Linked DNA regions of Rattus norvegicus. The protein of the gene in region 2 purifies or fractionates together with the protein of the main gene of each other region. This does not show direct contact. Links are inferred from orthologs where the notes say so. Each region holds a gene or a part of one and is shown on either strand. Other genes may lie near its edges.

Region 1 (4,760 bases), on a different chromosome or scaffold from region 2:
AACTTATGTGTGGAGAACTTCAGTTTTCAATCCTAGAGCACGACTGTTACCCGATAAGGCTGGCCCGCTCCGCTCCCTGGAATTCTTCCAGTGGCCGGGACCCACGTCTTCACGTCTCTGCCCCTTCATAGCCTTCTTCAGTCCTGGCACTTTACCTTCTCTAAGTGTCTTCCCATTTCTGTCTGTCGCCCCACCACCTGTGTGCTGCTGCTCTGGACCTGTTTGCTCCCCAGAACTCTTCAGACTCCCCCTTGCTGCTGTCACTGCTCTGCTGATGCTCTGTGGTTTATCTCTTCATATTACCAGTCTAGCTTGTAAACCGTCACCTGAGAGGAGTTCCTATTGGATGAAAGACTCTCCCAGCTTACTGAAAAAGTTAGCCAAATAGCTTGTTTATATAGTCAGAAATGGGGTGTGGCAAGGATGTTTGCACCAATCACAGCCTTTCTGCTCAGCCATTACAGATGCTTCCCCCTCCACCCCACCCCCACCCCCTCCCATCCTGGGTGAAGATGGTTACTAGAGCTTACTAAAGCTTGTGATGGTAAGAGGTCTGGTGCAAGCTATTGAGATACTCATGCCTTGGGTATTGCCTTCTGGAACGGTAGCTGTGCTTTAGCAATAAGCTGCTGTGGTTACAGTGTTGCTTCCTCAAAGCAGCTGAGGAAGAGTTCTAAACAGGACAGCAGCTTGAGGACTGTTCAGTCAAATGCTAACTCGTCTGACCAAGGAAGCTAGGTAATAGAGAAAGATCTGTTTGGGAGTCAAATTTGGCTTCTCCACCCCTCAGAATAAAATTTGGTCGCTCACATTAACAGTTGTCTGATAGTACTGAACAGCGCTCTGGTCTTTAGTCCCATATGCTTGGGAAAAGTTGGGTCATTTTATCTGAACCACTTGGACTGATTTGCAAGCCACAGTCTATTCTTCTCCCAGGCTCTCCAGCTTTAGTCTTACACATACATACACACACACACACACACACACACACACACACACACACACACACCTGTCTTTCAGGCTGCTCCCTCTGACTGCCCAAGTTCAGGCCCTGTGGCTGTGGAGGTCAATAGTTGAGCAGAGGTGGGGGATCTTGTCTCTGCATTGTCCAATATGCATCCTAACAGCCTTTACTTTGTTCTGTATAAATGTACAAGACTCCTCCCCCTGTGGTGCACATGCAGGTACTTTAAAGCACGCTCAGAACTGGTCATTTTTTTCCCTTGTGTGTACACACTCACCTATTCTTTTCAGTGTGCAGGCATTAAACATAGGTATCCATATTTGTATGCACAGAGGGTTCTCTTCTATATATACGTCCAGGCATGCACACACACGACTCATACTCCATGAATACACACGTGTCTGTATAGCGAGACTATGGATATACACAGGTGTGCACACATCATCCTTTCCCTATGTGTACATGCAGGTATGGCACACACCACAGACTTTTCACCGTTGGCGCGCGTGGCACACACACATACACACAGAGGCAGACACGTGGCCCTCTTCTCCCTGCGCATGCACACAGACATGCATACAGTTGGCCCTTGGTGTACACACACAGAGGCGCGCACACACGTGGCCTCTCTCCGAGCGCACATGGAGGCGCGCGCAGCGCTTTTCAGCGTCGGCGGCCGCCACACGCGCACGCGCGCACAGGTCCCTCCCCTATCCCAGGGCGGGTAGCACCGGCGAGAGGCGCGGGAGATGAGCGGCGGGAGGAGGAGGAGGAGGAGGGCGCCGAAGGCGCGAAAAGGCGCGCAGGCGCGCTGCGCGGAGCGGGCCCGCCGCCGCCCACGTCACCGCGCCGCGCGCACGTCACGCCGGCCCGACGCTCGGCCCAGGGTGAGCCCGCGTCCCGGCGCCGCTGGCTCAGGGCAGGGACCGCCAGGGCCGGACCTCCGGGCCGGCGCCCCCGCGCCCCCGTCGTCCGCCCCGCGCGCCCCGCCGGCCAGCCAGGTGTGGCGGGGGCACCGGCCGGTCGCGGCGGGAGGGCGCGGGCTGGGCGCGCGGCCCCGTTCCCGCCCCAGCCCGGTTCCCGCGTCCGGTCGCATCCCGCCCGCCGCCCAGCCTCAGCCCGGAGTCGGCCTCGACGCGGCGTGGCGTGGGCGGCAGGCAGGGGTCCTGGCCACCCTCCGGCTCTGTCCGCGCCAGCGCGCGAGGCTGGTGGCCGGGCCTAGTGACAGGTGGGGCGGCCGGGCGGCCGGGAGCCCACCTGTCAGAGTGGTCGGCGGCACCTCGGGGTCTTGGGCAGCCCCGGGGCCTGCTGCAGCCCGGGCAGAACCACGCAGTGTCGTGTGCCTAAGTGGGGGGCCTTGTGACTCGGTGGGGCCTGTGGTCAGGCGGGGCCCGCGTGCCCAGGTGGGGTGAGCCTGACGGCTGCGCCTCGCTCCGCCAAGGGGCCGGGGTCTGGCCCCTCTGCGGGTGGGAGCTGCTGGTGCCCGCAGGGAGCATTTCCATTTGGAGAGGTGACTTAAAATCCCTGTGTGGGACCTGCTTGGCTAGCTCTCCTGTTGGGATTGTGCAAGAAAGGCCCCTGCTGCCTGGAGGCCTGCCTCGTGCTGGTGGGGAGATGTTTCCTTTGAAATGCGATGTGCGTTAAACTTCTTTTTTTTTCATTCTCATTCATTACTCGTCCCCTTCCTTTTTACCAGATAAGTCCGGTTTCTTCTGTGGAGGGTACGCAGTTAAAGCCTTGATTTCCTGGATCTGGTAACATGGCAAAAGATGTAAGTATGAGTTCTGCATGCTGCAGACATGTTAGCATAGCTCGCTGCAGTTCTCTCCCTTTATTTGAGAGTGGCCATACCTGCGTGGCAGTGGTTTGCTCAGACATTTTACAGGCAGGAGCTGGGATGGAGGTGAGGGGTGGCCAGTCAGTAGGTGGGTGCCTCCCCTCCGCACAAATGTTCTTTGTCATCTGAAGCCTGGCACGTTTTTTTTTTTTTTTTTCTTTGTGGTTAAGATGATGATGTCTGGATTTTTCTTTAATCTATCTAAACCGCTTGAATACAAAATTTGTGTTTGAATGCATCTCCCAGTTGAAATGAACGTGTGAGGGGGGTATTTTGCTAGTGGGTTTCCACGAAGGAGAGCTGTCAGCATGCAACTTACGATGCATTATGCATGAAACTTAACTTGTTTTATGTAGTATGTAAGACCGTAATTCCACTTTGATGGGTTGAATCCCAACTACTTGTTTGGGCACATTTTTCTCTCAGAAAGATGACGTTTGGTGGTTAATGAAACACGGAAACGCTGGTTGGTTAAGCTTCGTATTTACTACAAAGCTACTGAGCATTTGAAATTTCTTTTTTGAAATGGGTACTGACAGTTAGGCTTTTAGGGGGCAAAAATACAGTCTGTGATTTTGGTCACATACATGTTCGCAGTATTACTTTATAACTCCCTCCAACACTGATCGTGCCTGTGCCAGTGTTTCAGCATTCACTGTCCTTTGACTATTAGATGAGTGTAATTTTCTGTGCAGCCCTGAAAATGCAGGCAGATAATACCACATCAGCTAGACTTGTACCCAAGTGCACTGAAACTGTGGCGCAGGTACCGAGTCTTGTCCTGACTTAGAGGCCCAAGGATTTAGTCATGCCTAGTGGCCCACCTGGATCAGACGGTGTCCGTCTTATGGTCATCAAGCACTGGACCTGCTCTTGGGAGTCGAGTTCCACCCTGAGAGACCGTGTGTAGGTCACCTGAAGTCACAGCTGTATGTGGCGTGGGGCTCGATTTCGTTATGTCTGTTGTTTGCCTGCCTCCACGTCCTGACTCTTCCCCCCGTGTGTGCCTAAGGAGAGACGTGCCGCTCAGTGCGTGCCCACAAAGTAGCTAGGTCTGGTAAACGGTGTGTAAGCAGGGCACTGGCTCCCGTGCCTTCGTTGAGACCCCATGGCCTGGTGTGGTTTCGGGGATCATTGCATCTTCTTCAGTGATCTTCAGTGAGTCAGCATGCTCCAAGTCCTGTCACCTCAGTTTTGCATCATGCACTCCTGTGTGCTGTGTCCCTGGGGAAGGGGTGGGTGGGTGGGTAGACACCATGATGGCAAGTGGTCAGGATGTCCTATCCAGTGGAGAGTGTGAGGCCAGCTGGTTTGGGGTTAGCCATTGTGGTATGGTGAGGCCAGTGCTGTGACTGGGTAAGAGCGCTGCTGCTTTGTCCCTCCACAAGTGCGCACAGACCTGGGCAGAGGCGAAGCGGCTCCCCCTGTTCTCTGGCTGGAAGTGGGGGTTGCAGGGTTGGGCCTTCCCTGTGCTTTTTCAGTAGGATGCAGTATTGGGGTTTGGAAAGGGACTTTGTAACCTGTGCTGAAGGGTAGGAAAGAGGCACCACTGGAGCTGTGTAAGCACTTGATGCTTAAGACGAACTCTGGCTGTAAAGTGCACTGTCGACATGGGGCTCGGAAGGCCATGACGCTGGCGAGAACAGAGGGGCAAAAGTCACGCTCTAGGTCTCAGAAAGGGCAGACAGAAGACAAATAGCTTAGGGGCTTTTCTGCCCCTGCTGGTGCCCAGGCAGAGCATCGAGTATGTTGGGCTCCCTGTGGACTGTGGGCTATGGAATGGGGCAGGCAGGAGCTGGCAGACGAGCAGTGGTAGAGGGGTGGTCTGTGCCTGCAGGTACTCGGGGTCTTTCCTGTGGTACTGTAGACCGTTCATGGGGACAGCATGTGTGCAGGTTGGGCCATGAGAACCCTGCAGTGGGAAGAAGCTAGAGAGGCCTCATACGAGCTGGTGTGTCT
Region 2 (4,921 bases):
GTCCTTCCAACACGTGGAGATGCATGGTGAGCTGAATTTGGTTGGCTCTTCATAGGCCTAGCCCTTGTCCTGGAAGTCTAGGGGACACCTGGCCCTTACTTCCCGCCCTCCCCGAAATCTGGCACTCTCCTCTAAATTCATATTGCTTGCTGTCATACAGTCTGCTTGACGTGTCTACCTTCCCTACAGTGATTTTAGAATTTACTCCCTCGTTAGATTGTAGCCATGTGAGCAAAGATTATCTTTATAACAGATTTGTTGACATATAATTATTAATATATCATAAAGCCCACTCCTTGAAAGAATATAATTCAGTGAAAGCTCGTCTTTGCCTTGGCATCTTCCAGGTTTCACATACGAATCACCTGAAGACCATGAAGAACTGTCTTTCATTGGTCCTACTCCCTCCCAAAGGTTTTGCCTTAACTGAGCAGGGGCATGGAGCAGGCATGAGGGTTTTTCTTTCTTTTTTTTTTTTTTTTTCGGAGCTGGGGACCGAACCCAGGGCCTTGTGGTTGCTAGGATATTTTTTTAAAGTCTCTGAATAAACTAACTTGCAGCTAAAGATGTCTGGTAATACTCTGCACACTGCAGGGAGGTATACAAGGATGGTTTGCTGTGATCACCCATTGTCTCTACTTCTGGTATCCAGTTAACTCTTACTGTCTTTGTCTCCCTTACAGACCTTGACTTCTATTACGGGTCAGTGTCTGCTTATGACTGTGTTCTCAACACTAGGCTTGGCCACACACCCATTTTAAGGCCAGCCTGGGCTAGGAGTCACAAAGATTGTATACACCACCAAGTTTCTGTACTCAACAGTCAGGAACTTAATGATTTTTTTTACTCAAAAACAACAACAACAAACCAACCAGTAACTCATGGATCAAACTCAAGACCACTCACTTTGAAGATCAGTTATAAAATTTCTCAGAAGACGAAAGTGTATTATTACTGGGTTGTTTGTTTGTTGTTTCATCGAGGACCTGGCTCACACTAAAAAAGGTGACAGCGTCGTCCGGTTTTCTGCTTCCACAGCTGTGAAGTCTTTGAGGGGACACATGCCATTCCTGGCCTGCCACATTATTAGATAGTTAAATATTGGCGGGATGAATGTAGTTAAACTTCATACCTAGTTGTGTGAGTATCACCTTAACTGGACAGGAAGCTGCACAACTTTCCCGTTTTGATTCTGTTTGCAGTTAATTAGAGTTCTCTAAACGGGGGCACTCCCTAATCTGCTCTGGCTACGACAAACATAAGGTAGGTTTTACTTGCACCTTCGAGAGGTTTTGTAAACATTCAAGCCCAGTAAGGACAGTTCTCTACGACAAATGAAAGCAAGACTCTTGAGACAAGGACACCCCTGTGAAGTCGGTCCTTTAGCTTGTCTCGTAATGCCTCTTAATACTTTAAAATCAGATTCAGAGGGTCCGCGTGGGCGTCTGGACCGCGCCCCCTGGTCAGCCGCAGCGTGATTCCTGCCCCGTAGGTTACGCCCCAGGGCGCAAGTGGAGCGACTCAAGCATTAAACAAGACAATGTAAAAGCAGTCTAGCCAAGAAGAGACAGTGTTATTTTGGCAGCCAGTTTCTCCCCCAGAGCCTCCACCCAATCCCTTGGGCCGGGCGCCCAGAGCTCAGAATTGTGGCCGGCTCCAGGAGCCCAGCTCCCTCCACGTGTCCTGTCTTCCCAGCAGCCTCTCCGCCGCCTGGGGAGGAAAATCTCCTGACAACTCGCGGTCTATGGACTACATCTCCCGGGAAGCACCGCGCCACTTCTCGCAGCCAACACCCGGGGCGCAGGCGCTCTGCGCTCTGTCAACAAGCGGGTCTGACGAAGACTGTGTGCGGTTCCTGATGGGATTTGTAGTTTCTCTGGCTCTCTCCCACTCGCCCATCAGACGCTCGAGGACTACAAGTCTCAGCTACCCCGGCGCGGTGAGCCCGGTCACGTGTTAGGGGGCCGATCGGGCGTGCGTGCCGCCGTTGATCCGGTGCTACAGTGAGGTGGTTGTCGCCCGTGTTGTGTGTGTGTGAGTGTGTGAGTGAGTGAGCGAGTGAGTGAGTGAGTGTGTGCGTGGGGGCACTCGGCTTGTTGTTGTCGGTGACTTCCCCCTTCCCTCCACCCCTCCCCTCCCCGGCCGCCGCTGCAGTGGCCGCTCCCTGGGCCGTAGGAAATGAGCGATAACGATGACATCGAGGTGGAGAGCGACGTGAGTCCCGGGGCTTCTTCCTTTCCGTTCGGGTTGTCAGGCGGGGACAGCGGCCAGGGCTCTCAGCCAGGCGACGGCGGGAGGGGGGCCGGGTCGCCGCCGCCTCCGTCCTCTTCCCCCGGGGCCGGGACCGCCTGCGTCGCGCTCCAGGCTCGCTCCCCTCCAGTCCTGTCCGGAGAGGCCTCCTGGGACTGAAGGTGGGAGCAGACACGCGGCCTCCGGGACCCACACATTCTCCCGTGGAGGAGGGTGTCGAGGCCTCCCTCTCCACTCTGCCGGGCTGGAGATCCCATTATCCGTCCGGATCCTGGGCAAGGAGACCAGCGCTCAGTTCTTGCTCATTGGGTCCATGATCTCCCTCCTCCGGTGACCGGTTGATCCTGGGGGTGAAGGGGCTGGGAGTGCTCTGACGCCCGAGAGGGATCGGGAAAGAGCAGACAGTGCTCCGGATCCCTCTTGTCCGGTTCGGATCCCAGAAGGAGGGGCAGCGCCTGGGACCCCCACTAGGCTACGGGTTCTCGCTGGAGAGAGTGGAAGGGAAAAGAGGGAGGGAGGGGTGTCAGGCTGACTACCCACCCGCTGCTTCCTCCGCCGCCGGCATTTTCTTTCTTATTATTGAATTCGAAGTGCGAAAATAACTTCTATATTTTCTATTTTTTTTTCTCTCTTATTCCAGGAAGAGCAACCGAGGTTTCAATCTGCGGTACGTCTCCTACTCTCCATTTCATTTTCATTTCCGTTCAGTTTTCGTTCTTTTTGGAGTCAGAGAGAAAAAGAGATCGTTCTATTACTTTTAATAGTCTTGTAAACTCCTCTTAACCGCTAAGGTGAGGTGGAGTCACTTGGGGTTGGAGGAGGGGGGCGTTGCAAATCCTCATGATTCTGGATTCTCAGGTGGTAGATTCTAGTGAGTAGGTAGGTAGCTAGGTGAGTGAGAGGAGGCCTGTGCTTCGAACTGAGTTCTGTAGTGTTCAGTGAAGGATGCAGCCGAGGCGTGTGAGAAACGAAAGAGCATTCCGAAGTGAATGGTAGTGTTATTTCAGAGCAGACTGGTCAGGTTTATTTAGGAGGTAAACTTTAAGCAGTGTCTCCATAGTTGTGTGAAGTCGCAGGCACGCATAAAGATCAATGTCTTTAGCCAAAGTCTGCTACAAAGACTGCTACAGCCCCTAGAATATAGAAAAACGCTTTATTCGCAACAACAACAATGGGAAAGAGAGGCACCAGAAGTTAAATACTGAGAGTGTCACCGCTTTTTGTGGTCTGACTTTCCGTTTGAGAAGAAAAAAAAAATTATTGCTAAGCGGCACTGTAAGAGATAGCTTCGCTGGAAGGTGATGGATGGGACTTCTTAGGATTGTGATAGTAATGGTTTTTATGGGTGTTTCTGGCTTTGAGTTGACCCTATGCTCCCTTGTGTTTGGAGTCTGAGGCTTAGGAGTAAATGGGTATAGATTAGGGAGAGAGAAAAGGAATAGACTCAGAATAAATCCAATCAGAGAAGAGAAACAAATGTAATATTTGATGATTGGAAGTGGTAAGAAAGGGGTGTAGAGTGCATTTTCCTGTGAGGGCCAGGTAATGAGCTCGTGAAGGATAGAGGGAAAGGTGAGGACTGGTGTATGCACTGAAGGATGCACACCCCTTCTGAAGTAGCCACCTAACTCTGCTGCTTGCTCCCCGAGAGTGAGCTCAGGCTGCCAGATCTTTTTTTTTACCTTCAGGGCTGAGCCATATCCCTGGAACTTCTAACTTTATGAGAAATGTTAATATGCTAGAAACACAGATTATTACTTTTTCTGGTGTGTTTATATGCATTTAATTTTTGACTGTGCTGGGAATTGAACCCAGGGCCTAAGGATGCCTTGCAACCCCTCTGCCATGGAGCTACAGCCTCAACCTACTTGATTTTTCTTTTTAATTACATTTATTTATTTAACGTGTGTGTGTGTGTGTGGGTGGGTGGGCGTGTGGGTGTGTGGTCATGCATATGTCATGGCTCTCATGTGAAGATCATAGAACAACTTGGGGGAGTCAGTTCTCTTTTCAGCACGTGGGTCTGGGGATTGAATTTAGGGTCATCAGGTTTGACTACAAAGCCTTTACCCGCTGAGCTGTCTCTTTAGCTTCAGTTATCTGATCTTTAAAATGATACGTGGAACAGCTGCTTAGGACTTGTAAAGAGTTTGCAGGATGTAACTAGGCTTGATTATTCAGGCCTGTAAACCCAGTTACTCAGAAGGTTGAGGTAGGAAGATCAAACATCCGAGCCTGCCTCTGCAATTCCTTAATACAAAAACCAACACAGCACAGAGTCCTGGGTTGTGACCCAGTGTGTAAGCCCAGGGCTTCTGAGGCTTTGGCAGAAGGGTTGCCCTGAATTTTAAGCCCACCTGGGATATAGAGTGAGTCCCAGCCTGGACTACAGCATGAGATTCTGCACAAGAATTCTCTGCTTCTGTCTCTTTTTCTGGGGAGCAGATGTGACAGCTCAAGTGTAGGACCCAGCTCCTCAGTGTTTCTGCTCTTCATTAGGGCATCAGATTGTGCAGACCCCCGAAACATCATTTGTTGGGAACTGATTGATTCTGAGTGCAGTTATCTCAGAGGTCTTAAGGATTGTTCTGAGATTCTCACTGAAGATGTTTTCTTAATGAAGCTTTACACAGTTGTCAATAGAACGTCAAATCCCTTTTGTGTCTTGTTT

Evidence for each region. The genes of interacting proteins can lie anywhere in the genome.
Region 1: the proteins of Max (region 2) and Tfdp1 purify together in Homo sapiens (affinity purification with mass spectrometry; 5 studies listed by BioGRID and IntAct, with this or other methods). This does not show direct contact. The link is inferred for Rattus norvegicus from reciprocal best matches to the Homo sapiens genes MAX and TFDP1.

Annotation. Positions count from the first base shown.
Region 1 is NC_086034.1:82,900,072-82,904,831, reverse strand, and holds the start of Tfdp1 (transcription factor Dp-1), read left to right. Parts: upstream 1-1,665; 5' UTR 1,666-1,851; exon of another isoform or gene 1,852-2,474; intron 2,475-2,660; 5' UTR 2,661-2,723; coding exon 2,724-2,735; intron 2,736-4,760. UniProt on the Homo sapiens protein: Can stimulate E2F-dependent transcription.
Region 2 is NC_086024.1:101,392,353-101,397,273, reverse strand, and holds the start of Max (protein max), read left to right. Parts: upstream 1-1,983; 5' UTR 1,984-2,178; coding exon 2,179-2,214; intron 2,215-2,272; exon of another isoform or gene 2,273-2,411; intron 2,412-2,890; coding exon 2,891-2,917; intron 2,918-4,921. UniProt on the Homo sapiens protein: Transcription regulator. Forms a sequence-specific DNA-binding protein complex with MYC or MAD which recognizes the core sequence 5'-CAC[GA]TG-3'. The MYC:MAX complex is a transcriptional activator, whereas the MAD:MAX complex is a repressor.